7 linked regions of the Canis lupus familiaris genome follow. The protein of the gene in region 2 interacts with the protein of the main gene of each other region in a biochemical or structural test. Links are inferred from orthologs where the notes say so. Each region holds a gene or a part of one and is shown on either strand. Other genes may lie near its edges.

Region 1 (4,144 bases), on a different chromosome or scaffold from region 2:
CCTTTACCTCTTTGGTTAGGTTTATTCCTAGGTATCTTATGCTTTGGGGTGCAATTGTAAATGGGGTCGACTCCTTAATTTCTCTTTTTTCAGTCTCATTGTTAGTACCACATTTTACTACAGCTACTCGGGAGCTGGAGTGTCCTCTATATACATTATGGTAACAGTCTCTTTCTCTTTCACACACAGACACAGACATAAACTCACATACATCATCATGGAATGAATGTTTAGTTGTATATGCATTGTATCATGCTTAGATTTTTTTCCTTCTTTTCCCCATACTGGCTCTATGTCAAATATTCACTTTAAAAGAAATGTAAGAGATATTATGTTCTCTATGTTGATTTTTGTAGAGTTGAGTACATGATGCAGTTCATTTAAAACCTGGGAAGAGCCACCTTGTGGCAAAATTTAGCACTTCACCATTATTTTTTTAAAGAAAAGTTGTAAGTGGCATTAAATTGTGTAGCAAAATAAAAGGTACTGATATTGTACGCAAATTCTAGAATATGGTTTCTGAGATATATAGTTTGACTTTAACATTAGCCAATATTATCAAAAGGTATTGAGAATTTGAAAAGCTTAGATTAAAATATGCAAAAGATATTGCATACACTAATGACTGTATATTTTAAATGTTCATTTCAAGGTTTTAGTTGTCTCCTAGTACACGCAGTTTCGGTTACACTAATTTGTACCTTAAAAATGAAAACTTAGGGGTTCCAGGCTGGCTTAGTTGATAGAACATCCGACTTGTGATCTTGGAGCCGTAAGTTCAGGTCCTATGTTGGATATGGAGATTACTTAAACAACAAATTAATTAATTAAAAAAAATTTTTTTAAATTAAAAAAATGAAAACTTAGAAAATATATCTAATTAGTTTTTTCTTTTTTTTTTAAGAAGTTAAAAAGGACCACAAGCTTTATTAAAAGTAAGTAAAGGTAACATATAATATATACAGATGGCACATGGTGCCAATTTTATTTGCAGATATTACAATACTCCAATGCATGTTTCAAGTTACACCTTTGCCACAGCCTTGGCTAAATCTTGAACTAGTGCAGAATTTAGCTGTGCCAGAGTGCTGATCTTAGCATGCTTAGAGGCGGCATACTTGTTCTTGATAGTCATGTGCTTTGTAAGCCCACGATTCACCATGACTATATTCTTAGCCAGGTGTTGCATAACATTTAGAAGGGATTCTTCAGTGTAGGACAGAAAATGCTGTAGAGTTGGTGTCCATTCACCATTATCGAGAATTTTCAGCGCTAAGCAAAAAGCTCCTGCTGCAATCTGAGAAGGAGGAAAGTGTACCATATCGCAGTCCAACATAGATAGCTCCATCAGGTATTTGGCCAAAGTATGTTGCTCAACATCAACCTCTCCAATCTTAGACACTCTCCGAAGGAAATGCAGGGGTAGAGGGCAGCCCAGACCAAAATTTAAGGATCTTAGAATCTTCATTTCCATCTGTCTGATTTGGTGTTTAGTGTAAGTATTGTCAGTCACAAAGGCAAAGTCACCAATTTCTGGAGGGTACATTTCCTCATATTTGCTTGCAATAAACATGGCAGTGACACCAACCAGCTGCAGCATCTTCTTGGGCACACAGTTATTCTGCATGAACCGATCAATAATGGAAACAGTCATGTACATGGTCTCCTGCAGTAACCTGAATTTTTTTTGAACCTGTACTAGCCAGTCAATTAGGATGGCTCTCATGTTTCCAGTGACTTCACGACCCAGTAGGTATTTTGGTTTGACTGCTTGTTCTTCCTCAAGTTGTCTCAGATAAGCATAAATATCTTTCACGTATTCACTACAAAGGTTTGGATCAGCTCCATCTTCTGCATCTACATCATTCACTGCAAGAATTACATCAGAGAAAGCCTGACACAGATATTCTTCTGCAGGAGCACATCCAGATGTTTCCATCGGGCTTGGAGAGGGAGTATCAACCAAAATAGGCTCGGGTGAAAGTTTTTCTTCTTTAACCGGCTCAGGTTCCAGCTCTGGTTCTGGCACAGGGACAGGGACAGGCTCAGGTGCCTTCTCCAGAGGCTTTGGTATTTTTTTAGCAATGACTTTTCCAGGAACTGCAGTTTTTGCTTCCTTTTTCAGAGGCAGTTTGGCCTGTGGTTGTTCACTGACTTTGTTACCAATGTCTCCCAGAGCAGTTCTTGGCCTCAGGCCGGGCTTGGAGGCTGCAGCAGAGGCCAGAGGCACCTGCTTTGCCCCTGCCATACCGATCTTCGCCTTGTTTTCAACATTCACTTTTGTGTTCCTGGTGACCCGGAGCGCCATGGCCGCGTCTTCACGGGGGGAGAGGAGAGCGCGGGAGCCGCTGACGAGCCGGGAGCCGGGAGCCGGGAGCCGGGAGCCGGGAGCCGGGAGCCGAGGCCCGCGGGTCAACAGCCGTTCCTCCGCAGCACCTCTAATTAGTTTTTTCTTGATGTGTAATTATAATATAGCTTATATTTCATTGTATATTTAAATATATTTGTATAATATTGGTTGTAATCATGTATTAATAATTGAGAATACTCAGTTTTCTTTTTGGTTTAATTGATATATTGACATCTTTGCAGTGTTTCCTAAATTTCCTTTAACTTGGCAATTCACCAAATTCTTCTTTCAGTTAATTCCCACATTTTCATGTCTGTCTTTCTTTCTTTCTTTCTTTCTTTCTTTCTTTCTTTCTTTCTTTCTTTCTTTCTTCTTTCACGTCTTTCATAAAACCTTCTCCATTTAATTGAATGTGGTAGTAAATTTGCAACTCCTAATAAATACTCAGTGTATACTTGGGTATGAAGAGCCACACCATTGTAGGTCTCTCCTCTCTTTTTTCCCTTCTTTTTTTTTTTTTTAAATTAAAGATTTTATTTATTTTCTCATGAGAGACACAGAGAGAGAAGCAGAGACATAGGCAGAGGGAGAAGCAGGCTCAATGTGGGGAATCTGATGTGGGACTCCATCCCAGGACCCTGGGATCATGCCCTGAGCCCAAGGCAGATGCTCAACCACTGAGCCACCTAGGTACCCCTCTCTTTTCCCTTCTTCATTGGTACTTTGAAAACTTCTTGAAAGCTAAGAGGTTAATTCAGTATCTTACTGTCTGCCCTTGCATTTTCCTGCCACTTCTCCTTTTCTTCATTCCTGGCCTCTGTATTTCCTCTGACATTGGGGCCTATCTGGTAGTGGTGGAGTCAAGCGAGGTGGTGATGGTGTAAGTATTGGCATGCAGATGCAGCAGGGAGATCTGGAATCTAAATGTATACTATAGGAGGAGGAATGCAGTGAGCTGGAATGAAGAGGAGAGAAAGGAAATACACACACTCAATACCGAAATCCTTCTCTTTGGCTTCTGCTGCCCTTCTCATTTCCAAGTATATTTTCTCCTCTCAAATTTCCATGGGTGTATGACTTTTGTTTGAGCTTTGTTTGTGTGTATTGGTCTTTTTGGGTTACCAGTTATTCAGTTTCAAATCTGGAATATTTGAGGCAAAAAGAAAGCCTAGGAAACTCACCACCCTTTCATTCCTTGAGTCTCTGTGTTTCTACTGATATGCCCTCTCTCCACATTTTAGAGTCTTCAGATGTTTGTTGTATACATAGTGTCCAGGGTTTTAAATTGTACATAAGGGGAAAAATAAGGAAAAATAGATCAACTTTTTTTTTCTCGGAAGCAAAATTCTTAAGTAACTTTGTCTTCTTTAAGTTTACTTTTTGTAAATCACTTTTCTTACTATGTAGAGAGCAGATTCACAAGGGAAGAAAGTAGTGAAGCAAGAGAAGCTGGGAGACCATTTAAAAATTGTTTCAACCAATTAAATGGTGTTCATTTGTGTAATGGTAGTGGCACTAGAAATGGAGCAAAGTGTATGTTTCTGTTTATATAATGATATTCTTGGTTAACTATTTAGTAGCTTTTTTTCATCCAACATATATTTATTATGCACATATCAGGTGCTGGATGTAGGCATTGGGTGGAGAGTGGTAAGCAACATGAGTATCATCTCTGACTTTTATGGACTTTATTGTCTAATTTAGAAAGATATGTAATAAACCAGTAAACAAAAAATTACTAAGCAAGTAAACCAGAAAAACTAAATTATAATTACAAATTGTGACATTGCTGTG
Region 2 (5,183 bases):
ACATATTGTAAGATATTAAAAATTATAAGGTATGGCTTTGTTTTTAAAAAATTTTTGCATCTGAGTGAAGTACGTATGCATATGATATCTAAGATTTGCTTCAAAGTACTTTGGGGGAAAAATACTTTGGGGGGTTACGTGGGGATATTTTTAACACTATCAGAGTTATTTACCTCTGGGTAACAAAATTATTACTAGCTTTTCTTTTCTTTATATTTTTCTATTTTCCAAGTTATCTATAGTAATTCAAAATCATTTTTTAATTGAGAAAATTGGGGGGCACTTGAGTGGCTCAGTCAGTTGAGCATTTGACTCTTGGTTTTGGCTCAGGTCATATCTCAGGGTCCTCAGATCGAGCCCTACATGGGGCTCTGTGCTCAGCAGAGAATCTCCTTGAGATTCTCTGTCTTCCTTTCCCTCTACCCCTCCCCATGTTCAGGCTCTCTTTCTGTTTATCAAATACATAAAATCTTTTTTAAAAAATAATGAGAAAGTTTTCTTCAAAAAATGTTAAAGAAATCCTTACCAATACTCCATCCACAGATGAAACTTTCTCCCAAGTTAACCAAGCTCTTTCTCTGACATGATCTGGTATCTTTAATTTCTGACATAATGCAGTAAAATCGGGTTCTTCGGTTTCTTCAAACACAAGCCTACCAGATAAAAACAGACATATAATGGGGATATATTTAGAAATCAAACTAAAAGTAAACATTTGCTTCAATGGTTTGCATATAACAAACATCATTATTCTGAAAAAAGGCATTACTAAGTACTTTAAAATCTTATTTATCTTTGAAAAAAAATTACAGAATTTAAATGTTTATTTTTTTCATAGTCCTTCCAACAAATATACAACACAGTGAAAGATGTTTGTTGGCCTGAATCACATACACACCAGAACAGCAAAATAGCTTTGGAAAAGTAAGTAAGTATGATAGCTAACGCTGTATGGGAAAAGCGGGATGACAATAAGAGCAAAAAGAAGAAAGCCCATTTATGATATTGCAGAATCAATTTAGTATCAGCAATTTTGCTAAAATGCAGTCTACGCTTATCAACGTCTCATATAATCTCTCTACCTATAAGCATTTCTCACGTAATAAGAAACTTAACATGAATTCCTGCTATTCTTATTTCAGCCTTTTCTCTTCGATCTTCCTTACCCAAGATAGGTAGTCAATAGTTTCTTGTTGGCTAGCTCCCTTTCATTCTCTTAATGTCTATTTGACACCTAATAATAATATAAGGAATAGCTAATAATTTTTGAGTATTTACTCTGAGCCTGTGTGAATAAAGTATCTTAAATGTATAGTTTCAGTGGAATCCACACATGGGCCTACTAGATAAGTACTCTTATCCTTGTTTTACAGACAAGTACCAAATAAGAAGTTAAAGGACTCACTTGAGGACATGGCCAGTAAGTGGGAAACCCAAGTCTAACTCCATGATCCATGCCCTTGACCACTATGCCAGACTGGTAAACCTCCTTCAGAGCGTAATTAACTTTGATCATGTCAACAAGGAGGGTGCACTCTTGCTCCTAGTGAAGGTTTCCCTTCCAACATTCCCACTTAGGCCAGATATAATGCAACAGAGAGAAGATCTCAGCTTCAAGGTACAGACAGATTCCATCACTGAAAATGCAGGTGGAGCGGGCCCTGAATCCATCCCTAAGCAGGACGCTTGGCTTTGGATTGCCAGGCACTAGTTTCACCCTTGCTAAGCAGCTAGTCTACACAGTTCAACTGCCCGTACTAGCAAAACCTTTCGGGGGGTATGGTTAATCAAGAGTGGAGTGTATCCTGTATGGTTTTACTTACAGGAAAATTTTTTATAGTTCCATCATTTAAAAGTAAATAATGCAATGTTGGGGTGGGGAAGAAAGGCCTTCTTTTCCCAGGTGGGGGCCCTAATTTGAATATTTCTGGTTACCCTACAATAATCCAGAGGACGCTTCCAAAGCTCCGTGGTAAACATGGAACTCTTTATAGAGTAGATTTACTGCTTTTTCCAAATGAAAACGTTCAAGTACTGGACACAACAGAGCTTAATCAGAAATTAAATTTGCTTTCAGAACAGCTTGACTGTTTTTCCCCCCAATTAGCGAGTGTGATTTTTAACTGACCTGTAAGACAACCCATTTCAACATATGTATTTTTAACAGCTTTTCACAGGCCATCCCAGAAGCCCATTCCAATCGTTCACAATCTATCTGAACCCTGTTAGTGTCTAGCAAGTTCAAAGAATAGGGCTTAGTAATGGACTAGAACAGGTGAGGAAGCGGTGAGGAAAAGAAAGCAATCCCATTCTCAAACAAAACAAAACAAAACAAAACAAAAAACAGGTACTCTCAGAGTGGTGGAACCAGGACTGGCAAAAATAATGGCAATCATAGTCTTTCAGTCTTAGGTTCTTAACCATAAAGTACCACGATCGTGAAAAATAGGATGCTGCAACAGAATAAGTCCTCCCTGTCACGTTCTACTGTATTATCACAGTAGTCGCCTAAATTTAGAGACCACTTGGTGGTGCTGGTGCTGGTGGTGGCGCTGGTGGTGGTGCGGGTGGTGCTGGTGCTGGTGCTGGTGGTGCTGGTGCTGGTGCTGGTGGCGGTGCTGGTGCTGGGGGGGGGGGGGGGGGGGAGAAGTGTGCTGTGAGCACGGGCAGCTCACGAACTCTGCAGCCCAAGCGAAACAAAACAAGAGCAGGCGCGAGGATGTGTCCGGGCTGGAAGGCAAAATGGAAGAAGCGCTGCAAAGCGCCGAAGACGGATACCGAGGCTGTGCAGGGGGACCACGGAGAGGGAGCGGAGGCAGGCAGCGGCGCTCCAGCGGGGCGCGTCGCGGGGCTTGCCCGGTGCCGAGGCCTGGAGCCGCGTCGCCGCCGCCGTGTCCGCGGGAGGCCGCCCGTCCCCCGCCGCGTCGGCCGCCGGCTCCGTGTCCGCGGGCGCGGCGGCGGCACCTGTCACCGGGCGCGGGCGCCCGACCCCCCCCCGCCCGACACCTGTCAAGCCGGCGCCCGGCCCCCGCCGACACCGCGCCCGCCCCGGCCCCCGCCCGCGCCCGCGCCCGCCCCCGCCGCTCTGGGCTCACCCGGGCAGAGGCGGGTCGTCGGGGCCGCTGTCCTGCGCCGGGTCCTCCTCGGGCGGCGGCGGCGGCGGCGGCGGCGGCGGGGCTTCGGCGGCGGCGGCGGCGGCCCTCCGGGGGGCTTTGGGCGGCATGGCTGTCCGCGGGCCGGCGGCGGGGCGGGGCGCGGCGCGGCGCGGCGCGGCGGGGCGGGGCGGGGCGGGGCGGGGGGCGCACCTCGGGGCCGCCCCGCTGCGCGCAGACCCGGGGAGCGGCGCCCGGCGGAGCCCACGAGCCCTCCTCCCGCCGCCCACCGAGCGCCGGGCCAGCCGCGCGAAAACGTCACTTCCGCCCGCGGCGTCACGTCCGCGAGCTCCGGGGCCGCCGGCGGCGGGACGGACGGGGCGCTCCGGGGGCGCGGGGCGGCGGCGGGCGCGCGGCGGGCGGGGCCTGCACCCCCGCGGCCCCCGGGACGCGCTCGCCTCTCCCGGCGCGGGCCCGACCCCCGCCGCCCTGGGCCCCGCTCCGGCGGCGGGCGGCGGCGGCGCCGTATCTAGCGAGCGCACCCCGGGGGCACGCCCCGCCGCGCCCCCCCGCCCCGCGACACCCCGCCGCGCGCCGCGCCCTCCCGCCGCCTCCGCCCCGCCCCGCCGCGCCCCCTCCCCTCCCCGCCCCTCCCCGCCCCCTCCGCGCCGCCCCCCCGCGACCCGCGTCCGCGCCCTCCCACCGCCCCGCGACCTCCGGCTCGCCCCCGCCGAGCCTCCCCCGCGTCCCCGCCCCCTCCGCGCTGCGACCCCCTCTCCCCTTCTCCCCGTCTCCCCGTCCCCCCGTCCCCGACCGCCCTCCGCTCCCCGCCCCGCCCCCTCGCCCCTCCCCGCCCCGCCCCCGCTCCCGCTCCCGCCCAATCCGCCCCGCCGGATCCGCCAAAACAAAAACAACCGTCTGCGGAGCCCCCCGGGCCGCGAACGCTGGCGACGCCGGGAGACGGCGGGACGCGCGGGGCGAAGCACGGCCGCCCTCCGGGACCTGCGCGCGCAGACGGGGCCGGGGGCAGAGCCGGTGAGGACCTGAGCGCCCGCCCGCCGCGGCCCCCGGTGCCCCCCGCAGGCGCCGCCCGCCGTCCCGCGTCCGAGCATCGCCCTCTCCGGGTGTCCCTCGGGAGTAAATGAACTTTCATCTTTTTTTAAGTCAGGATTGTATTTAATATTTTATTTATTTATTCATGAGAGACACAGAGAGAGAGAGACGCAGAGACCCAGGCAGAGGGAGAAGCAGGCTCCACGCGGGGACCCGACGCGGGACTCGAACCCGGGACCCCGGGGTCACGCGCTGGTGAGCCACCCCCCACCCCCGCCCGGGCTGCCCCGTAAACGAAGTTTTAAAAACCGCGCGCGCGCGCACAGAACCGGGAGGGGCCGGCAAACTGTAAGGGGCATTTTCAGAGAAAAAGCGGCAGCTGAATGAATGCAAGCCCGCCCGGCCCGCCCGGCCCGGCCCGGCCCACGCGGGACGAGCGCCCACTGTGTGCCCGGCGCGTGCTGGGCCTCAACCAGTGATCGCCAGCCTCAGAACAACCCTTTGAAATCGGTGCTTTGGTCTTCCCCAGATGGGTGAATCCGCCCAGCGTTAGGGAGCGGATGGGGGGTCAGAGGATTTGAAAATAAATAAATAAGCAAACAAACAAACAAATAAATAAATCCTTATACACACGATTCAGGAACAATCGGGTCAAAGTTTTAAATCCCCCCACACGGCTTTCTGTTGCACAACCAAAGAAACATAAGAAATTCTGCAGATTCTTAAAAGAAGCCTTTCCTGATCTTTCCCCAACAGTGAAACCAGTCTTTTCAAAAGTTGCCCCCGTCCTAGTTGTCAGTTCAATGACTTCTTTCTGATCTTCTCTCTACTTGGCCTTTCTTGCAGTTAACGCAGTTAAACCACTTCCTCTTGCGTAAAGCTTCGCTAGTCTTCCACAAATCCAGGGTCCCCTTTTCCTCCCCCTCCCTCCTGTTCCTTTGTAAACTCCTCCCCTGGTTCTACTTTCCCTTGTCTTCAGTGCAGGTCCCCTCCCCGACAGCAGCATGACCCAAAGTGTGCTCCTTGGGCGCACGCTGC
Region 3 (4,392 bases), on a different chromosome or scaffold from region 2:
CAAGTGCTCTTAAATGGCCCATCTCCCCAGCCCACCCTCCGGGAAGATCACACCCCCCCATACAGGGGAGCTCAGCTAGGAACCTCCATACGCTTATTAATAAGCCCATAACTAATCCAGAAGCTTTTCACTTTTTCAATGAGGTGTATCTTAAACCTAAGCAAATCTCCATTTGAAACCACATACAAGGTATTTTTATTCACTAGAGAATGCACCACACTGGACACCTTAACTAAAGAATCCTTGAATTTCACTTTTTAAAATGATCCTGTTTTGCAAGATTTTTCTACTTCTAATGTAATAATCTCAAATAGCTCCAAGTTACTTCCCACTAGTTAACATATATATACAGAAGAGGAATTTAAAACAAATATCATGCCTGCTATAAAGCCAGTAAGATTTTAAATTTCCCACCATCAAAGAGTTACTAAAAGCCTGACAGACATGAGAAAACTGTCACATACCTGGAAAATTTCATCTTTATGAGATTCAAAGGTATGCAGTTTTAGTTTTAAATTACGCAGATCCCATAAAGCTACAGTCTGAAGAAAAATAAATGAAAAGGAATTCATTTCTGCACTGTACGAAGAATTTTAGAATATCTGATTATAGCACAAGACAACTGGATTCATAAACATCAAATATACAAAAACTTAAAAAACCTTATCCGCAGAGCCAGTTGCGAGAATGAACTCGCTGTAAGGGTTGAAGGACAGGCAGTTGACCTCGGCAGTGTGTGCATCCACCAGGTGGCTTGGCTTGGAGGTGGTGTTGGACCTGGTGTCCCATCTAGAACACAAAGACACAAGGCACACAGCACAAGCAGAAGCCACCCAACCCTCCTCAGTTTCTCATGCCCGTTTCCAGGTCTGCACCACTCCACACCACCCTTACTCTGCCATGCTCACCCCTTCATGGACACCCTAATCACATACAAAGCTGCCAATCTGGACTTCCAGCCACTAAGTGACATATTCTAAACCCACAGAAAATAAATTAGGGCTATCATTTCCAGTTTCAGATTCCTGTCTTATTACCAAATATTTCAAGCAGACACAACTACTGGAGAATAATGTAACAATTTGATACCTACAACCCAACCTTACCATATTTTACTATTTAGCCACATTTGCCTCAGATACTAGTTTCTTTATGAAATAAAACACATTTTAGGTGGCTGAATGCAGCCTGTAGCCATGCCCTGATGCAAACATTTTTAGCCCTCATCTTCAAAGTCACTGTGACCCTAATTTTGACACATACCACTAAGAATGTTTCTTTACATTTGTAGATTTTTTTCAAGTAAAAAAATATGTTCATTCATAGAGCACAGTATCTTCTATGCAAAAAAAAAAAAAAAAAAAAAAAAGCTGTTACACTTGTTGTTTCTTGTATGTCAAGCTAAAGCTTTTAAGGCCAGTATATAACTTAAAAAAAAAATCAAACCATAGGCCACCACAATCACTGTTGATCATTCAGGACACCCATATATCAAGACCCCACTGAACCTTCCACCTTACATCATAAGCTTCTGATCATCAGCAACAGATCCAAACAATGACTCGTGCAGCAGATGCCAGGCCACATCCTCTACAACAGCCGAGTGGCCAGTAAAGATGGCTTTAGCATCCACAATCTTGCCTTCCTTTGGTCCTGCATTTATATCCCACAGACAGACAGTCTAAAGAAGGAAAAAACAAACAATCTTCATTAAAAAATTATATAACTAGGGGTGCCTGGCTGGCTCAGTCTGAAGAGTGAATCTTGATCTCGAGGTGTGAGTTCGAGCCCCATGCTGGGTGTAGAGATCACTTAAACTTAAAAATTATCTAACTATATATATAAAGGCAGAAATAAACACAAGGGAGAAGAAATATAAACAAAGTGAAGCTTCAGAAACACAAGAGTATGCTTATAGCTTTCATCACCTGAGATGCAGAGGGCAAGGAAAAGGAAAGTATATGATAACGGGGACAGAGAAACCAGGCACGATGGCAGGCAATAGACAATGAGGTAGAGTTTCTACTGACATACTTTCAATCAAGTATCTAAAATTCATCTAGAGGGGATCCCTGGGTGGCTCAGCGGTTTTGCACCTGCCTTTGGCCCAGGGCGTGATCCTGGAGTCCTGGGATCGAGTCCCATATCAGGCTCCCAGCATGGAGCCTGCTTCTCCTTCTGCCTGTGTCTCTGCCTCTCTTTCTCTGACTCTCATGAATACATAAATAAAATCTTTTAAAATTCATCTCGATTACACAATGCAACACTAAGAGTCCAATATTCAGTATTTACTGAACAGATACTCCTGTCCTAAAAATTCACACAGGGTTGGGAGACTGGAAATTAAGGTGTCTGCTTCTCCCTCTCCCTCCCCTCCCGCTGCTTGTGCTCATGAAGGCTCTGTAAAATGGATGAATAAAATCTTTAAAGGCGGGGGCGGCTCAGTGGTTGAGAATCTGCCTTTGGCTAGGGTTGTGGTCCCGGATGGAATCTGGCATCAGGTTCCGCACAGGGATGCTGCTTCTTCCTCTGCCTATGTCTCTGTCACTCTCTGTCTCTCATGAATAAATTACATAAGATCTTAAAAAAAGAAAAATCTTTGGATAATTCTCTCGCCTCACAGCAGAAACCACTATTTGTAGTGGAACATTAGGAAGTCGAACATGTGAAAAATCCAGAAACCCCAACTAGGCTACTTTGAGAGGCCAAAGCTTAAGGCCTGCTGACAGATCCCCACAGCACAGACCTCAATACTTCAGCAAAATCCAAGGAAAGGCCATGGGCCTTTCCCAGGCCTCAAAGATCACAGATCAGCAGGCTCTGGGATCTGATTCTTCAAATGAAAACCATTACAAAGTTAACAGGAAAGTTTTTATGAAAAAATATTACAAGCTATGGGACAATGATTATCATCCAAACGGTTTAAAAGGTAATTCCACTAAGACATATTTGCCCCAACAATTCCACTGACTGGTATGGGTTTCATCTCTTTGAAAATCACTTTCTTATCTGAAAGACTTTCTGTGACAAAGCTATTTCCCAGTAATAGCTATGTACTCAGTAACAAAAAAAATAGTTTTACAGAATACACCCTTAGTCTTTGTTGATATACACTCAGACAATTTACAAGCACTGAAGAAAAAGGAACATATATAGAGCTCTTGACATCCTTTCCTGCTCATTTCAGAAGGATCCTGGGAAGATGAGCAAGAAGCCTGGCACATGCAGAGCCCTTAGAAAACGTCAGCTATTATAACTAGCAAATCCCAGCGTGGTGTCTTCAAAAGGCACTAGTAATAAAGTTACTGAGCATAATCCATTCCGTTTCAGAGACTCTACCACACCCACTTTGAGGGAAGTGGAGGAAAGCTTCCTTTTGGAGAACTAAGGGAGACCCTCACTTCTCAGCCTCCCTCGTGGCTAGGACATGATAGTGGCTACATCAGTCTGACCAGGATTTTTTTAAATTAATTAATTTGACAGAGATTGAGAGATTGAGAGAGATATACTGCATACAGCAAGGAGAATAGCAGGCAGACAGAGAGAGAGAGAAGCAGAGAGCCTGATGCAGGGCTTGATCCTAGGACCCCGGGATCATGACCTAAGCTGAAGGCAGTTGCTTAACCAACTGAGCCACCCAGGTGCCCCTGACCAGGACTTTAAATTGTGAACATTAAGAGGGAAATCTGTTCTCATGTTTGCCAAGTGTGTGGGGGGGTACAAAGTGGAGAGTAACACCCACCCGCTTCTCCTCTCTGTTCTGGGCCATTTTCTAGCCAGCAAAGCAATTCTGTGAGCTACCCTACCCAACACCCTTCTGATAAATTCCTTTTCTGTTTGCATCAGCCGGAGTTGGTTTTGGTTGCTTGCAGCTAAAGAATCTTGACTGAACCAATTACCTACTTTCAATATTTAAAAAAGCTTAACAGAAATTGTAACCAGTAGAAATAAAAGAAGGTCTGTGATGCAATAGGCCTGTTCTAGACAGGAGGATATACTACGGAAGAAGGTTAAGAGAACCTGTGGCCAAGTTACAAGAGCTTTCAAAAGCTCCAGAAGTCTACTCTCAGCTCTGGGCTGGAGTCATACCCACCATATTTTGCTTACAGTATGGGATCCATGAAGGAAGGTATGGAGCTGTAGGTGGCAAGAATGCTACAAAGATTGATCTACAATAAGTTAACAAGATCACTTTGTGTTTGTGTGGTACTTTTGTTAAAATACTTGTATTAAGGATGCCAAGATAACTCTTAGAAGAAAACATAGATGTAAATCTTTGTGATGTCGGATTATGTACTGGTTTCTTAGATATGATGATATCAAAAGCACAAGTGACAAAATAAAAATACATAAACTGGACTCAAAATTCAATTTTTGTGCTCAGGAGGACAT
Region 4 (4,392 bases), on a different chromosome or scaffold from region 2:
AGAGGCAAAGGAATTTCATCTGGGAGATCTTTGAACTGGGAAACATCTGCAACTTTCCTTTGTTGCAAAAGCCTTATTTTCTGTCGTTTCTGTTTTAATGCTGATCTCTCTTCCTCAAAAAATGCAGAAGAACATCTAGAATAAATTATAAAAATCATATAAACTGATAACTATCCTATACAAAAACTTGCAATCAGGGGGTCCATGGGTGGCACAGTCGGCTGAGATCTGACTCCTGGGTTCAGCTCAGGTCATGATCCCAGAGTCATGAGACTGAGCCCCAGGTTGGGCTCCGAGCTCAGGGAGAGTCTGCAAAAGTTTTTCTCTCCCACTCCCTTTACCCACTCTGTGCTCACTCACTCTCTATCTCTCTAAAGTGAATAAATCTTAAAAAAAAAAAAAAAAACAAAAAAAACCCCAAAACTTGAAATCAAACCATCCATCTCACTGTTACTTCTTTTCCTCTCTTTCTTTCAAGTAATTGTATTTAAAAATGAGTTCTTAGAAATAATAATTATCTTTAAAGTAAATTATATCTTTTTAAAAACAGGACTTTGCAAGACTTAAAGATTTATAAGCAAGTCTACATCATCCTTTCCTACAAAGCAGGAGGATTTGTCCACCATCCTCTGACAACACTGCATCTGGATCATAGGACTCCCTCTGGGACAATGTTCAATTACAATATTCTATTCAGAAGAACATGATATTTTCCCTGTGACCCCATGAGCACACCAATATAGAACTAAAGATGAGGCTTACCACTGTGTAAATGTTTAATCATACTTCCTGCCTTGAAGCATAAATACCGAATTTACTCTTATCTTTAGGGACTGTTTTACTTCTATTTTCAAATACTGGGATGAATCAAAGTAACTTAAATATAGCTTTCGTGTCACAAAATATATATCCATAAAACAATCATCACAGACAAGATAATGAACATTTGAAGACATCAATCACTCCACAAAGTTTCCTTGTGGCATTTTATTATCCCTCCTTCGCATCCCTCCCATTTCTGTACCCCTACTTCTCAAGCAATTGCTGAAGTGCTCTCAGTCATTATAGTTTCTACCTTTTAAAATCTTATACAAAATAAATAAATAAATAAAAATAAAATCTTATACAAATGAAATCATGTAGAATGAACTCTTTTGTCAGGCTTCTTTCACTCAGCAGAATTATTCCAAGATTAATCTGTGTTGTTACATGTACCAATGGTTCATTCTTTTTATTGGAGAACAGTATCCATTTCTATGAATGGCCACCGTTTACCCATTCACCTACTGGTGGACATTTGTATTATTTTCAGTTTGGCGCTATTACAACAAAGTTGATATGAACATTTATGTGTATAGGTTTGGTTTTTTTTTAAGATTTTATTTATTTGTTCACTAGAGACAGAGAGAGAGGGAGAGAGAGAGAGAGAGAGAGAGAGAGAGGCAGACACATAGGCAGAGGGAAAAGCAGACTCCATGCAGGGAACCTGATGTGGGACTCGATTCTGGGACTCCAGGATCATGCCTGAGCCGAAGACAGACAGACACTTAGCTGCTGAGCCACCCAGGTGTCCCTGTGTATAGGTTTTTGTATAAATATAGGCTTTCATTTCTCTTAACTAAATACCTAAGAGTGGAATGGCGGGGTCGTATGGTCAGTGTATGTTTAACCCTTTTAAGAAACCAAAGAAGCCAGGGATGTCTGGGTGGCTATGTTAGAAAGCAAGATAACACTACAAAGGGAAAAGTCATTTCACATGAAAAGTAATTTTCAGAAAATAACATATTGGAGAGATTCACTTGATTTTTCTTTCTGGGGTTTTTCTGTTTTTGTTTTTAGATAGAATGCGTTTTTGTTTTACTGAGGTATAATAGATATATAAGACACTATGTAACCTTCAGGTGTACAAGAGAATGATTCAATATTTGTATATATTGTGAAATGATCACCACACTAAGTCTAGTTAACATCTGTCACCATATATAGTTACAATTTTTTTTTCTTGTGATAAGAACTTTTAAGATCTACCGTCAGCAACTTTAAAATATGCTTTACAGCCACTTGGGTGGCTCAGTTAAGCATCTGCCTTTGGCTCAGGTCATGATCTCGGGGTCCTGGGATCGAGCCCCACATCAGACTCCCTGTTCAGTGGGGAGCCTGCTTCTCCCTCTCCCTCTCCCCACCCTTCACTCATGCTCTCTCACAGTCTAATAAATAAATAAAATCTTTTTTTAAAAAAAGCTTTACAATACTATTAACTATAGTCATCACACTATACATTACATTCCATGACTCATAACTGCAAGGTTCTATCTTTTGATCCCCTTCACCCATCTCACCCTACCCCTTTATCTTGTTTTTATATAAAGTAAAATATGTAAGAAGGCTTTTGCGGTGATAGATGGTTTCTAAAAAGATAACAATGTATTAGTATACCCCGAGAGCTTCATTAAATATAGTGTACTCCTAAAAAACAAGGATGTGACCACTCAGGTCCACTTATGCATGGATTTTATTTTTTAATATAGTATGGTACTATAAATGTATCTTCCGTTCTTATGATTTTCTTAATACCATTTTCTTTTCTCCAGCTTATTTTATTGTAAGAACACAGTAATATATATGTGTTATTGACTGTTTATATTATCAGTAAGATTTCCAGTCAATAGTAAACTACTAGTAGTTAGGTTTTGGGGGGAGTCAAAAGTTATATGAAGATTTGACTGTGCAGGGTCGGCATCCCTAACCTCCATATTGTTAAAGGATCAAATATATTTTCTAGTGTATTCTTAAATATTTTTTGGAACATAGTGGGGCATAGAGAATGTAAGAAAATTATGTTCGAATCCTATAATTTGAAAAATGAAACTGTATTTAATTTTAAGATGCATCGATATAAAAAGCACCTATATTAAAGCTAGTTATGGGATCCCTGGGTGGCGCAGCGGTTTGGCGCCTGCCTTTGGCCTAGGGCGCGATCCTGGAGACCCAGGATCGAATCCCACATCGGGCTCCCAGTGCATGGAGCCTGCTTCTCCCTCTGCCTGTGTCTCTGCCTCTCTCTCTCTCTCTCTCTCTCTGTGACTATCATAAATAAATAAAAATTAAAAAAAAAAAAAGCTAGTTATCAGGATATATTTAAAATATAATGATTCTGAAAAGTTATGTTTCAGGACTAGTCTTTGCAAAGATGAAAAGTAATCAATGTGGTAATTATACTACCAACTAACTTACTGGTTTATTTTAAATAAAAATATTTTTACCTCCGTGGTTTTCCCATAAGTCGCCTGATTTTTCCCCATTCTACTCTTGTTAACTTTCTTGTTTTTAAATTAGGAAAAGATTCCTTCAGACATACACAGAAGTCATTATCACCTTCAAAGAGTGGTCTGTAAGACAGAAATGGTAATTTAGTGGTTAATCACAATTATTTCAGAGGCATAAATTCAAAATATGCTTTACAATTTTCAACATTATACTAATCCTCAAATGCATCTTTCACTTCTACCCAGGACATATACAAAATTGGCACAATTTCAAACTGTTAAAACTAAAAGTGGCATTTGTGAAACAATTAATGTATACAATTTACTCAAGAAATGTCTGTGCTGGAGATTCCAGGAGACTCTGATTTTTGCTAAATCTCACATATGAGTATCCTAGTATATCTTGGCACTGTCATTACATCCAGTGAGGATGAACAATGTTAGCTACAAAGTATCTTTGTCCCAAAGGTAATACCAACAGCAAGGAGTCCTCTTTGAGATTAAGTAAATTTTAGAAAAATAGGGACTCTAGAGGGTTATATCAGTTCTTGGGAATTCTAGAACTCAGATCACACCAAGATACCCTGAAAGCCTCATAAACTATGGAAAAATCAGTGGACGAAAATAAAACAATTTCAGGGGGGCATGGCTGGGTCAGTACGTAGAGCATGTGACTCTTGATTTTGGGACTGTAAATCTGAGCCTCACGTTGGATACAGAGATTAGACTTCAATAAGGTCTTTTAAAAAGAAATTAGGGGGATACCTGGGTGGCTCAGCAGTTTAGTGCCTGCCTTCGGCCCAGGGCGTGATCCCTGAGTCCCGGGATCGAATCCCACATCGGGCTCCTTGCATGGAGCCTGTTTCTCCCTCTGCCTATGTCTCTGCCTCTCTCTCTCTCTGTGTCTCTCATGAATAAATAAATAAAATCTTTTTTTTTTTAATTTAATTTTTATTTATGATAGTCACAGAGAGAGAGATTGAGGCAGAGACACAGGCAGAAGGAGAAGCAGGCTCCATGCACCGGGAGCCCGATGTGGGACTCGATCCCGGGTCTCCAGGATCGCGCCCTGGGCCAAAGGCAGGCGCTAAACCGTTGTGCCACCCAGGGATCCCCAAATAAATAA
Region 5 (4,392 bases), on a different chromosome or scaffold from region 2:
TCTGTGACAAGCCCAGTCTGTATGTATCTATAGTTACAAGCAAAACCTAGCCCTCCTGTTTAAAAAGCGCAAAGACAGGAAGCCTGGGTGGCTTAGCAGTTGAGCCTTTGGTCCAGGGCATGATCCTGGAGTAACCGGATCGAGTCCCACGTCGGGCTCCCTGCATGGAGCCTGCTTCTCCTTCTGCCTATGTCTCTGCCTCTCTCTCTCTCTCTCTTTCTGTGTCTCTCATGAATAAATAAATAAAACCTTTTTTTTTTTTAAAAAGTGTAAAGACATTCTCTCCCCCAACTGACCACAGGCAGTAATAATCTCAGGGGCATGGCATAAGGGCAGTTCATTATTTAAAAGAGGAAACATAACTTTAATGAAAGAATAGCACTTTCTCACTCACCACTGAAGTAAGAGCCATCTGAAAACTGTAGATGCGGGCAAGGCCGAAGTCAGCCAGTTTTATTTGTCCACTGCTGGTCACTAAAATGTTCTGTGGTTTTAAATCGCGATGCACTACTCGGTGAGAATGAAGAAAGTCCAGGCCTCGGAGAAGCTGAAACATCATATCCTAAATAAAACCAAAAAAGAAAATCAATAAACTATCAAAACAGAAATTCAACATGTAGAGGAATCCTTAGCCTTGGAAAGCATTTGACAAGTATTTCCTGAATAAATGAATTTGTTTTCCTTCTTAACCTCTCTAGTCTTCCATTTGCAAGGTCACAAGCAAAAAATTTCACATTGACCTGTATCTTATTCACAAAAGGAAAATTTAAAAATAGTTTCAGATGCCTGGGGTGCCTGCATGGCTGTCGGTTAAGCATCCGCCTTCGGCTCGGGTCACGATCCTAGGGTCCTGGGATTAAGCCCCGTGTTGGGTTCCCTGCTCAGTGAGGAATCTGCTTCTCCCTCTCCCTCTGCCACTCCTCTCTGCTCATGCTTTCTCTCTCTCAAATAAATAAAATATTAAAAAAAAATAGTTTTGGATGGCATAAGAAATATTCTGGGAGGTAAATACCAAACTGGTATCTGTAGTAAAGGCTGGGGAGAAGAAGTAGGTGGTAAGAGGGAGACACTTTTTACTTTATATACTTTCATATGGTTTAATATATTATTTCAACAGTTAAAACCTAGTATATGATAATGCTATTAATGGTAATTCCTATTACTTTTATAGCAACTAAGTAGTCACTACGTGTCAAGTACTTTTCTCAATACCCAACACTAAGGTAAATAATAGCATTATCGCATCTTATGGTCAAGAAACTGATTCACGGGTATATATAATTAGCCCAAAGTAACATCACTAGCCAAGTAGTGTTGATTCAACAGAAAAAGTGGGTTCAAATTCCCAGTGCATTCCTTTATTAGATCAATGATGGAATGAGTATATAAGGCCAGGTAAGCCATTTAACCTTGTGAAACCTCAATTCCTAAGCAACAAAACCGATTTCATGGCATCACTGTTAAGAAAGCACTTAGCACAGTAGTGAGTCCTCAATAAATGGTAGCTCATTGCTATCATTATTAACCAGCATGGAGCGGGGCGGGAGGTGGCATTCAAAAAATAATGTCACATCTTTTTATAACTTTGGAACCAGTAAAATTAGAGAGAAGATTTAAAACTCAGAAACAGTGTCTGAAAGTAGGAATTTAAGATTCTGACCATTGGATCCTTTGAATTCTAAGGTTAATAAAATTGACCTACCCTCCAAAATACTGTGCAAATGCTGTGCACAAGGGAGGATGGGATTATTTTGTTCATATAAGGATTAGAAAAGTGGTAGGGCAGCATCATGGGCTTCAAAGCTGGCAAAGGCTGTGAGGACACACTTGTTCATCAGCTGAGTCATATTTGGTTATTGGTTACAGTGCTGGTTTTTCCTTTAGAGCTGGGAGTTCTGCTGGCTTATTTAAAATCGAAGCCTTAGTTTTACATAAAATGAAGAGAAAATTGTGCTTACTTTTTATAATATTATGAGATTAAATGAAGTAATATATACCAAGGGAGGTAGTGCAGTTTTGGGAAATGGTAAGCATTCAATGAATGACAATCATTCAAGTGTCCTGTTTCCCCAGGGGAGACAATCACAAACAACCATAAGAAAATGTGGCCAGTGCCATAAGGTCAGGGAACCTGCTGACTCCTTAGCATTGGAAACAAAGCACTGAGCAGTGATATGCAATGACCCAGGTGTACTAGAATCCCTTTGAGATGCACCTCAATGGATACTCTGTCCTGGGAAAGTTTACCTTCTAAGTTTTCAAAGGCAAACCTCTTGAAGAAAACTGCACTGATGAGGGTCAGTCCTTTAGGACCCGGGAACCACTGCAGGTCACACACCTCACAATGCACATCCTTCCAGTGTGAAACGGAAGCATATGTATTAACAAGAGTACTCTGCTGGGGCAAACCAGTCATTGTTGGAAACGTTATGCTCATGGCTTGTAAGCCCTGGATTTTAAACAGCATGATTAACCTAAAGTAATGCCATGCTGGCCTGTCATCTTTATTCTTATACTTTCAACACCAACCATTTAAAACTACTGAGAATATATGTTTGGTTCATTTATCATTGTTTATAATAGTCTAAGCAGCCAATTAGCAGAATAAAAATTTTAAAATTTGAACTAATTAATAAAACTCATCTAAAGTTTACCAAAAACCTGAACCAAGAGTAAAAAAAAAAAAAAGTGTTAATTGCTTTTATCTATGTATTTATTTATATAGGACATATGACATCTTTCTTAATTATTAAAATGGTACATGCTTAATGTAGAAACTTATAAAAATGTTTTTAGGATCCAGAGGAAGGGGATATGTGGGTAGCTCAGTTGGTTAACAGTCCAACTCTTGATTTTGGCTCAGGTCATAATCCCAGGGTCATGAGATTGAGCCCCCTGTGGGGCTCTACACTCAGTACAGAGTCTGCTTGTCCCTCTCCCTCTGCTCCTCCCCCTGCTTGCATGCTCACTCTCTAAAATAAATAAATAAATAAATAAATAAATAAATAAATAAATAATCAATCTTAAAAAAGAATCCAGAGGAAGAACAGAAATCACTCAAAATCCTATTGCTCAGAGAATAGAGAAAACTTTATCATTAAATATTTTTTGTCTTTCTGGTCTTTCAAAAATTACAAATGTCTCAAAAAAAATTACAGATGTTGCTATATTTGTAAGTATAAATACATCATATTTATATGTAAATATATATAATGTATAGCATAAACAAAGACTTAATATAAACACGTATTTGTAAATAAAAATGATTATTCTGTACACATTATTTTGTGGTTTATGTGGTTAAATGTTTTAAAAACATTTAACAATTCATTATGAATATTTTTGCCACATCCACAAGATTCTTTTTTTTAATACATGATTTGTTTTTAAGATTTTATTTATTCATGAGAGACCCACAGAGGCAGAGACATAGGCAGAGGGAGAAGCAGGCTCCCCATGGGGAGCCTGATGCAAGACTCAATCTCAGGACCCCAGGATCACGACCTGAGCTGAAGGCAGACACTCAACCAGTGAGCCACCCAGGGATCCCAATACAACATAATTTTTAACGGCTGCATGGCTTTCCTCCCTGAGATATGCCATAATCATTATTTTAGTTGTGTTATTTTGAAACTTGTACTGGAAGTCTAGTTCCCCTTCATTTAAGGCTAGAGTACTTGAAAATGACTTGTTACCATTATAACTATTACACCCAGCACAGTTTAAGTAGTGCCAAACCATATAAGTGCAATAACGATTCCACATAAATGGTGCTTATCGAGGTATAGGAAGCTGATTTTACATAAGGATTGCCATTCTTTAGATTTTATTAGGCTATTTTTATTTATTTTTAAAGATTTTATATTTTTACTTGAGAGAGAGAGAGAGTATGAGAAGGGGTGAGGGGTAGAGGGAGATACAGGACAGGGATTCCAACACGGGATTTGATCTCAGAACCCTGGGATCATGACCTGTGTGGAAGGCAGACGCTTAACCAACTGAGCCACCCAGGTGCCCTATCAGGCTATTTTTAAATTTTTTTGTGTGAGCAAATAGGGTTTTCTCCTAAACCTACAATATCCAGTTACAAAAGAGTTTTGAACTATGTGAGCTTTGAATTAAATAGCTTAAAAATTTTTGCCCAAATCTCATTATCTTCAATGATTCAATTGTGAGGTAGACTGATGTACATTGTAGACTTGTAATAACTGTGATGTGGGAACCCTCCTCAATCTTTACCTGTCATTCACTGGAACACCTAATCTCAAAGGGAAAATATACTCAGCTACATTAGGGACTCCAGTCATAAGGAAAAATAAGACATGGTACCAATTTCTCAGAATGAAATGAACAAAACTGTACCACTAAACAAGGCAGGGAAACACACTTTTG
Region 6 (3,538 bases), on a different chromosome or scaffold from region 2:
CTGTGGTCTTAATATTTATAGGATAATCAAAAAATAATTTGGAAACACAATTTACTTCGAAAAATTTTCAACATAAGGCACAGAGCAACATTTAAAGTCTAGGAGCGACTAGATTATATAATAAATATCTTTTCAATCATTATTTGCCCTTTTCCTGAAGAAAGTGGGTGAGTAGTGCAGTTTAAAACATGCTTGGAATAATAAAAATGACTGATTTAAGAAATACAAATGATATTTGTGCACAGAATGTTATTAAAAAAAGTATATTTTCTATCAAATATACATCCTACAGTGTTATAGGTATAAAAAATTGTGAGGCACTTATATTAACAATGAAGGAGGAAAGCACTGAGATTATCTTTTATAAAAGCACCAAATCACTTACTTTAATATCTGAGATAAAAGCCAAAGCTAAACAAAAGGAGTTTAATTTTGTATTTGGTATATTAATAATAATCTAGAAGCTGAAAATTCAAAAGTATTTTTTTCTGACAAATTTTTATTTAAAAGTGTCCTACAGTTCCCCTAAATAAGTTTTGTATATTCTCTGGTACTCAGAATCATGTGAAATAGAGATGGAACCTCACTCCCTGTGGCAGCACAATTTATAGTTTAATGACTATATGTATTTCTGGTAATTTTCTTAACTCTTAAAAACACTGAAGTTTGGTTTGGAAAAATAGCACAAACAACACACATCAATGCCTCCATGTAAACTTGCTGATGACCAACACTGACAGTATTATTATTCTGTAATCTTCTGCAAACTCATCCAAAAACCAAGGTGCAAAAGGGGCTTGGAATTACAGGAATCCACTGGATGTCAAATCAGGGAAAGGTCTGGCTTCTGGTGGGTGATGAAGGGGCTGAAGATGTGTGGGAGTCTGAGTGTTATTTATATTACTTAATTCAGCGGGATAGGTTTCATTTAAAACTCCTCCATTCTGAAACTGCAAACAAAAATAGCAATGCGATTAATCAGACTAGATCTTTCAAGTATCTTAAGCCACTAAATGATATATTAAACTGCATTTTTAAAACATTTGCCTTGCATATTGTTAAACTTCAGTTCTTTACTGTTGCTAAAATTTCAATCATTCAGCAAAGACCTACTGAGCACATACTATGTGTTGCATTTATAACTTCCTGGTTTCTCCATTAGATGGTACAAATGTGTGATATATCAGTCTGAGCTCAGATTTGGCATTCCATACATTAGAAGAGTATCTGATGAACAAGTTGTCTTTGGTTTGGATAGAAACTGACAGATCAGAGAGTATCAGCTATGATTCACAGTTACATAATATATCTGTCATAAATAGGTTTGCTTTGACCAGATTCCATTTTAGTCAAGTTCTGGGTACCAATGGATTGACTGCATTCAAAATTAATACATTGGACTGCAGACCTAGGACTTTTCCATAAAAGGTCAGTTCTGATAGAGATGTCTTAATATTCCTAAAATATAGCATAGATAGGATTTCCTAAACCAATTTTTTATCTGTTATATGCTTTTGAGAAGTACTATTAAAAATGGTCCCAATTACAGATTAAGTTACCAAATAAAGTGCTCTCATCTTCTTTACAATAAAATTAGTCTATAACTGCTACTGAAAAAAAAGAGGCAGATACACAATTCTGTAGGGATTTATATGGAACTTTTGTATTTTAGTATATAGTTAGTGAAAGTTGTGGCAACTTTCAAATAGCTTGAACTCATAACTCTAATTGCTTCAAGTAAATCCTATGTCACATGTTAACATTAGACTTAAAAGATCCTCCAAAACATTAAATATATAGTAAAAAGTCACATAATCTAGGTCTTTAATGAATGGCATCTACATGGAGTCTTCAAACAGATGTTGGTATTATCAGAGAATGGTAGTCTTTGAATAAATGACTCATTAGTCAAAGCATGATGCATGTCAGCAATTCTCTTTAAATATATTGTCAAAAGCAGTGCTGTCTAATAGAAATACAATGTGAGCCACATAGGTAATTTTAATTTTAAATAATTTCCTGGGGGAATCCATAGGGCTACTCACTTCCTATTATCTTCTTACTCATAAAGTAATAAAAAAACCTAAACTGGGGAGTAAAAAACAAAACTGAACAACTTGAGTAATACAATTGTAAACCCTGTAAATGAGGGACGTGTCAGCAGTTTACTCAGGTTGCCTACCTCTGCCACGTTATGGCGATGTTGTGAGATAGACTCGAACTGAAAACTAAATTTTGAGATAACTGAAGGATGTCGGGAGGGACGCTGGATATATATCAGAGGAAAAACTTCCACTGCCGTTTTCTACTAAAAACCTCATCTATAGGCAAACCAAATGTGTGAAAAATGTCATGAACTTGAATCTCTTCTGCTATTCCAACACTTTAATACACAGTAAATAGAGATCAATGAACTTAATTTTGATCAGGATTTTCTTCAAAAGCCTACTGAATTATTCTTTAAAGTGCACTAAATATTTTTTAATGGAAAAGCATGAATGCAAACAAAATATATTCCCAGGAGGCCAGAGAGATAGAAAGAGAAAGCAGCTACCATCATTAATGTTTTTTTTTCAACGATTACTTTTAGATTTAAACTGTGGTGGCTGTTAGAAGAATCCTGATGACACATTAAAAAAAAATCAAAATGCAGGGGTGCTTACAGTAAAGTATATGACTCTTAAAAAATAAGTAAAATTTTTAAAAATAAAATGAAAATACAGTGTCAAGCTTGACAACATGAGAGAAAATTTTTTAAAATTCCAGAAGAAAATATTCCACTTTTAAAGATAAAATGAGCATCTGGCAGATAACTTGAAGGTACTGTGGCTGAATTCAGGGGTCACCCAGGACAAAGGCATTTGAAGAAAGCACAGCTATATTGGCTTTAAGTCATATAAAAAAGACTGAGCTTTAAATTTTTTAAGAGGGGGAGGGAGAGGGAGAGAAAGAATCTTATGCAGACTCCATGCTGGGCTCTATCTATGGCCCTGAGATCATGATCTGAGCAGAAGTCAAGAGCTGGGCACTTAACCAACTGAACCACCCAGGTGGACCTAAAGAAAACACTTTGCAAATACAGGGGCACGTAAATGGTTCAGTCAGTTAAGTGTCAGCCTTCAGCTCAGGTCACAATTCCAGCATCCTGGGATTGAGCCCCATGTCAGGCTCCCTGTTCAGCAGGGAACCTGCTTCTCCTTTTGTTTGTGCTCTATCTCTCTGTCAAATAAATAAATAAAATCTTTTAAAAAATGCAAATAGATTTCTGAATTTTTAAAGGATCATATAAAGAAGAGAGATAAACTCAAGAATCTATTCTAAACAATATATTTTGTAATAATTTCACTTGGTAACTAAAGGACATATTAGGTTGCCTTAGCCCTTGACTTCTTTTTCCTCTACAATTCAAGCAAAAAAGACCTATTCATATTAACATACTAATACCAGAAAAGTACTGACTAACATAAAAGTAGTCACAGACATAAAATGTTTACAACTCATGTGTATTTATAATGTAAGAAGGATCACTGAAAGGGTT
Region 7 (4,488 bases), on a different chromosome or scaffold from region 2:
TTTCTTTTCCTCTCCTCTTGCTCCCTACTCAGTCCCAGAGATGAACCTAATCACAATTCCTGGTTGGAAGATCAGTTTTTTTCCTGACACCTCTATTTGGAAGTACATGCTACTGGTTAGTTATGTGTGTGTTGGCATCCTTTGCCCCACTCCCAAATTCAGTTAATTCACATCATACAAGCAATAATCAGACTCATCTAGCTGCAGCTACAAGCTGTTTGAAAATGCAGTGAAATTAAGGCATTGGAGAGGCAGGGTTAGGATGGTTAAGTGCTAACATCTTGCTTATTATTGTCCCATCTATCTATTCTCCTCCTCACCAAGCTAGTGTTTCAGTAACTATGGTCACCCTCGCCAGTCCTCTACTTTATGTAAAAGGACCCCCGCCCCCCACCCATAAGAGGCAAGATGACTGTAACTGAGGCTGAGCTGTGGTATTGTACTGGATGTGTCCTTTAGTGCCATAAGGGGCAGGAACATCCAGTACTTTTATTGATCATCAGACCTACTAATATACTGTTTTACTGGGCACAGCTTTCTGACAGAATTACTACTATTCTTATACAACTTCAGAACCTTAATAACCACAGCAACATGCTCACCTTAATAGGACAGGTTTTCTCAGGCTGGCAAATTCTTTCATAGGAATTTGCCAAGTTTAATATCCACAAGTTAATTTATAAATCAGTTACTTGAAGCTGGAGCACTTTCCCATGTAGTGGTTAAATGTGAATCATAAAGTGGTTTCAATGATAAAATAAAATAGCACAATACAATAAAATAATAGTGTTTAGATAAAGTATGGGAACAATATTCTTGGCCAAACAAACAAAATACACAGAACAAGAAATTTTATTATCTCGAATGCTGGTGCATAACCAATGACAAGCGTAATTAGAGGAGGAGACAGAGGGAAACTTCAGATACTGAGGTGGATTTCTGGGCAGGTTTTAAAACCTTTTAAGGGTTGAGGGCATAATTGTTCAGTCTTTCTTTTTGGATGTAGGGCTTTCCTTTTACTTGACATTTTCACTTTAACAGTTCTTATATTATGAAGTTCAACCAAAGTCCTTCACCTGTAAGTTAAATGAAAAACAAAGAGAGCAAGTAAAACAACTTCTCTAGTATGTAAGAGTATCAGAAATAGTCTGTTCTTTCACATACATTTTAATGTCTAACTTTGAAATTACGGACGTCTTAATTTTTGAGTTTTAAAAATGGCAAGACAAATTTTCTTGAATTATGGATCATAGTAGCTTTATAAATGATCAAGATACACGTACAAACAAAATTTCAGATGCTCTTGAAAACACATTTTGAGATAGATCACACATGATACATATTTCTTCTTGGGTTTATCTTTTTGGGATAGTGAAGAATACCCAATTTTTTTTTTTTTTTTTTTTTTTTTACACTAAAAATTTAGCCTTTGAACACTGGCTTGGACAGACCACAAAGTGGAACCTCCAGAGTTCTCTCAGTAGGCTTTCAGTCCAAACGATTCAGACATCTTGTGTCCTAAATTGGATGTTACTACTTTTTCTCACGTAATTGGTATCAGTGGGGGTCTTGTACTGGCGGTTTGTCTTGGTCATAACTTATTCTTGCAAAACCATTCCTTATAGTGAAATATAGGAGAGGTATTTTCCCCAAATGCAAGGAAAATAACCGGGATCAGTAACAAAGTCTAAGCGGCAGGTGTTTCAGGAACATTCTTGAAAACAGATTTCCACAGTCCTGATACGTTTCTTCTTCTTCTCCAACAATGCTTTCATAAGAGCGCAGTCACTGCCCTATTCTACTCTGCACGACAACAACAAAAATTTTCTTTGAAGATCGACTTTTTTCCCTTGGCACCGTTACTATCTATCTGGAATGAGCCCAAAAGACCGTGGAATGTCGGGTCTCTCCTCAAGTAGCTTCCTCCTCTTTTAACAGCGTGTAATCACTCTCTGTCAATAATCTCATCACAGCCGAGTTCTTCGGTCAGGCGATTGACAACCATAAGTGAAAAAAGCTCTTCGATGAAAGCCAACTGATCAAACGGGGTCTTCTCGTAATGCATTTGAAACCCGCCATCCAGGGCTGCTTCTCTGGCTCTGGATGTTCTCAGGAACATCTTGTTGGCTTCCTCCAGGGCCGCGGATACCCTGTAGCCGGCACCACTCAGTTGCTCCTCTTCCGGATAATCGTAGTCGTCCTCCCAGTCATCAAACTCCTCACCCTCGTCCTCGCTCTCGAAGTCAGGGCCGGCGAGCTGGCCCGGCTGCTCCCCCGGGCTGGGCCGGTGAGCAAGGCCTCGTTCCCCCTGCGGCTCCGCCATTGGCTGGGCCGCCTCCTCCTCCATCGGGCCTTCCTCCTCCAGCTGCGGCTGGGCCCCGTGGCGGGAGGGGTTCGGGGAGGGCTCCCGGCTCCCGCCGCCTACCTCCATCTGCGGAAGGTCACCCTCGCCGGGCATCACATCCATCTGCAGGTCATTGCTCTCTTCATACAGCTCGGACAGCTCGTTCATCTCCGACATCGTACTCGCGGCGCACCCTCTAGCCAGGCGTCCCTGCAGACGGAGCTACGCGGCCGGGCGGTTCTGCGCGTGCGCCGACGCCGCGCGCCTGCGTGACCCCGTGCGTCTGCGCGACCCCCGGACGCCGCCTCCCGGGTGCCCGTCGGGCGGGGGGGCCGACTCCTGCGGCGGGAGGGGCTCCCGTTCGCCGTCCGTTCCTGCTGCTTAGCGAGGCCCTGCGTTTAAGAGAGTCGCCTTATCTCCGCTTTGCTTAACCGTCCCGCTCCTTACGGTGCTGTAAACTTGGAGATACTTTACGTGGCCTCTGTTACGACGTTTCAGCCTCCCCCCTGCTCCCTCCCCCTCTCCCCATCTCCCCCTCCCTCCTCCCCCTCTTCCTCCTCCCCCTCTATCCCTCCCCCTCGCTCCCTCTTCCTCCCCCTCTCTCCCTCCTTCCCCCTCTCCCTTCCCCTTGCGCTCCCCTCGCTCCCTCCCCCCTCCCTCTCTCTTTCCCTCTCCCCCTCTCTCCCTCCCTCCCTCCCTCCTCCCCATCCCTCCTCCCCTTCCCTCCCCTAGACCCTCGCATCTGCACCTGTCGTCCATGCGCAGGGCTCCCGCATCCACACCGCCAAATCAGTGTTCTCAACCACAGACCAACATACTATGAACTGATCCATTCAGCTCTACTTCTGTTTCCCCCATTAAAAAAAAATAATAATAAATTCACAAACATATTATCTATCTTCGCTACATGCTGAAGAAGTACTTGACTCTATTTCCACAGGAGGTTAACTGTGGTCAGTTTCAGTGTGTATTCTTTAAATCCTTTTCCATTGCATTTGTCCTTTTCCTTTACAACCTCGTGCAAAAATCTTGTTCTGTGTGTGGGTTGTTTTTTGTTTTTGCATGTCTTACGTAACTGTCTTCAGATTACAAAACAAAAAGCCCCTCTGCAGTGTCTTGAAGGTTTAGCTTTGTTGGGGTACATAGATGAGTGGTGGTGGTGGTGGTGTGTGTGTGTGTGTACAGCATTTCATTTTATTTATTTTTTATTTTTTAGCATTTTATTTGTATAGCTATGCTGTTGTTGACCTAACTTTGCGCGCAAAATTTCCGATTTTTCAATATTATAAACTATGGGTAAATGACATCCATATACGCCAGTGTTTCTCTAGAATAAATAACCTAGAAGTGGGAAGGCATAATTGTAGGGTGTGCATACTTTAGTTTTTAATTCATGCTGTCAAACTGCTTCCCAAGATTGCTGTACAAATGTAACCTGTCCTCGGCAGTGTTTGAGAATATCTGTATCCTTGCCGCACATAGTTTTGTTGAGCAATTTTATCAATTTAATGGTATCTTGTTTTATTTTCCACAGCCTTGATTTCTTGGAAATTGGGTATTTTTCAGTGTGCTTATTGAACATTTGTGTGACTTATGAAAATCAACTGCTCTTATTTTTGGTTTATTTCTTTTTCTTATTGACTTGTAGGAATTTCTTACAAACTAAATGAATACTTTGTTTTAAGTGTTGCAAATATATTCTCCCTGCCTGTTATTTGTCCTGTTTCAGGGGTCTTTTCTGGTGACAAAAGTTTTAAAATGAGTTTTCCTGTAATCAAATAGAAGGTTTTTAATTTTTTCTGTATGTCTTTTCCTTTCTATCAAGATGGGTTTTCCTACCTCACAGATCACAGCGTAATCTTGTATTTGTCTTCTAATGTTTGAATAGATCTTTTATGGATAAAACCTTCACTTATATAAATACTCTGAGGACAGGATTTTTTTTTTAATATTTTTTTCTTTATTTATTTATGATAGTCACACACAGAGAGAGAGAGAGAGAGAGAGAGGCAGAGACATAGGCAGAGGGAGAAGCAGGCTCCATGCACCGGGAGCCCGACGTGGGATTCGATCCCGGGTCTCCAGGATCGCGCCCTGGGCCAAAGGCAGGCGCCAAACCGCTGCGCCACCCAGGGATCCCAGGA

What was found.
Region 1: of the proteins of RB1 (region 2) and G2/mitotic-specific cyclin-B1-like, one has a biochemical effect on the other in vitro, tested with the Homo sapiens proteins (2 studies listed by BioGRID). The link is inferred for Canis lupus familiaris from reciprocal best matches to the Homo sapiens genes RB1 and CCNB1.
Region 3: the proteins of RB1 (region 2) and histone-binding protein RBBP7 form a complex in vitro, tested with the Homo sapiens proteins (3 studies listed by BioGRID). The link is inferred for Canis lupus familiaris from reciprocal best matches to the Homo sapiens genes RB1 and RBBP7.
Region 4: the proteins of RB1 (region 2) and LIN9 form a complex in vitro, tested with the Homo sapiens proteins (2 studies listed by BioGRID). The link is inferred for Canis lupus familiaris from reciprocal best matches to the Homo sapiens genes RB1 and LIN9.
Region 5: of the proteins of RB1 (region 2) and CDK6, one has a biochemical effect on the other in vitro, tested with the Homo sapiens proteins (9 studies listed by BioGRID and IntAct). The link is inferred for Canis lupus familiaris from reciprocal best matches to the Homo sapiens genes RB1 and CDK6.
Region 6: the proteins of RB1 (region 2) and AHR form a complex in vitro, tested with the Homo sapiens proteins (2 studies listed by BioGRID). The link is inferred for Canis lupus familiaris from reciprocal best matches to the Homo sapiens genes RB1 and AHR.
Region 7: the proteins of RB1 (region 2) and EID1 form a complex in vitro, tested with the Homo sapiens proteins (5 studies listed by BioGRID). The link is inferred for Canis lupus familiaris from reciprocal best matches to the Homo sapiens genes RB1 and EID1.

The regions. Positions count from the first base shown.
Region 1 is NC_049250.1:29,512,300-29,516,443, forward strand, and holds G2/mitotic-specific cyclin-B1-like, read right to left. Parts: upstream 2,404-4,144; 5' UTR 2,309-2,403; coding exon 1,025-2,308; 3' UTR 1,003-1,024; downstream 1-1,002. UniProt on the Homo sapiens protein: Essential for the control of the cell cycle at the G2/M (mitosis) transition.
Region 2 is NC_049243.1:3,170,905-3,176,087, forward strand, and holds the start of RB1 (retinoblastoma-associated protein), read right to left. Parts: upstream 3,323-5,183; 5' UTR 3,224-3,322; coding exon 3,096-3,223; intron 2,268-3,095; exon of another isoform or gene 1,374-2,267; intron 925-1,373; exon of another isoform or gene 839-924; intron 654-838; coding exon 527-653; intron 1-526. UniProt on the Homo sapiens protein: Tumor suppressor that is a key regulator of the G1/S transition of the cell cycle. The hypophosphorylated form binds transcription regulators of the E2F family, preventing transcription of E2F-responsive genes.
Region 3 is NC_049260.1:13,073,942-13,078,333, forward strand, and holds part of histone-binding protein RBBP7, read right to left. Parts: intron 1,682-4,392; coding exon 1,521-1,681; intron 790-1,520; coding exon 663-789; intron 543-662; coding exon 465-542; intron 1-464. UniProt on the Homo sapiens protein: Core histone-binding subunit that may target chromatin remodeling factors, histone acetyltransferases and histone deacetylases to their histone substrates in a manner that is regulated by nucleosomal DNA.
Region 4 is NC_049228.1:38,546,194-38,550,585, reverse strand, and holds part of LIN9 (protein lin-9 homolog), read right to left. Parts: intron 3,390-4,392; coding exon 3,264-3,389; intron 136-3,263; coding exon 1-135. UniProt on the Homo sapiens protein: Acts as a tumor suppressor. Inhibits DNA synthesis. Its ability to inhibit oncogenic transformation is mediated through its association with RB1. Plays a role in the expression of genes required for the G1/S transition.
Region 5 is NC_049235.1:18,262,267-18,266,658, forward strand, and holds part of CDK6 (cyclin-dependent kinase 6), read right to left. Parts: intron 563-4,392; coding exon 395-562; intron 1-394. UniProt on the Homo sapiens protein: Serine/threonine-protein kinase involved in the control of the cell cycle and differentiation; promotes G1/S transition. Phosphorylates pRB/RB1 and NPM1.
Region 6 is NC_049235.1:31,837,097-31,840,634, reverse strand, and holds part of AHR (aryl hydrocarbon receptor), read right to left. Parts: intron 951-3,538; coding exon 804-950; 3' UTR 1-803. UniProt on the Homo sapiens protein: Ligand-activated transcription factor that enables cells to adapt to changing conditions by sensing compounds from the environment, diet, microbiome and cellular metabolism, and which plays important roles in development, immunity and cancer.
Region 7 is NC_049251.1:15,391,832-15,396,319, reverse strand, and holds EID1 (EP300-interacting inhibitor of differentiation 1), read right to left. Parts: upstream 2,729-4,488; 5' UTR 2,522-2,728; coding exon 1,946-2,521; 3' UTR 835-1,945; downstream 1-834. UniProt on the Homo sapiens protein: Interacts with RB1 and EP300 and acts as a repressor of MYOD1 transactivation. Inhibits EP300 and CBP histone acetyltransferase activity.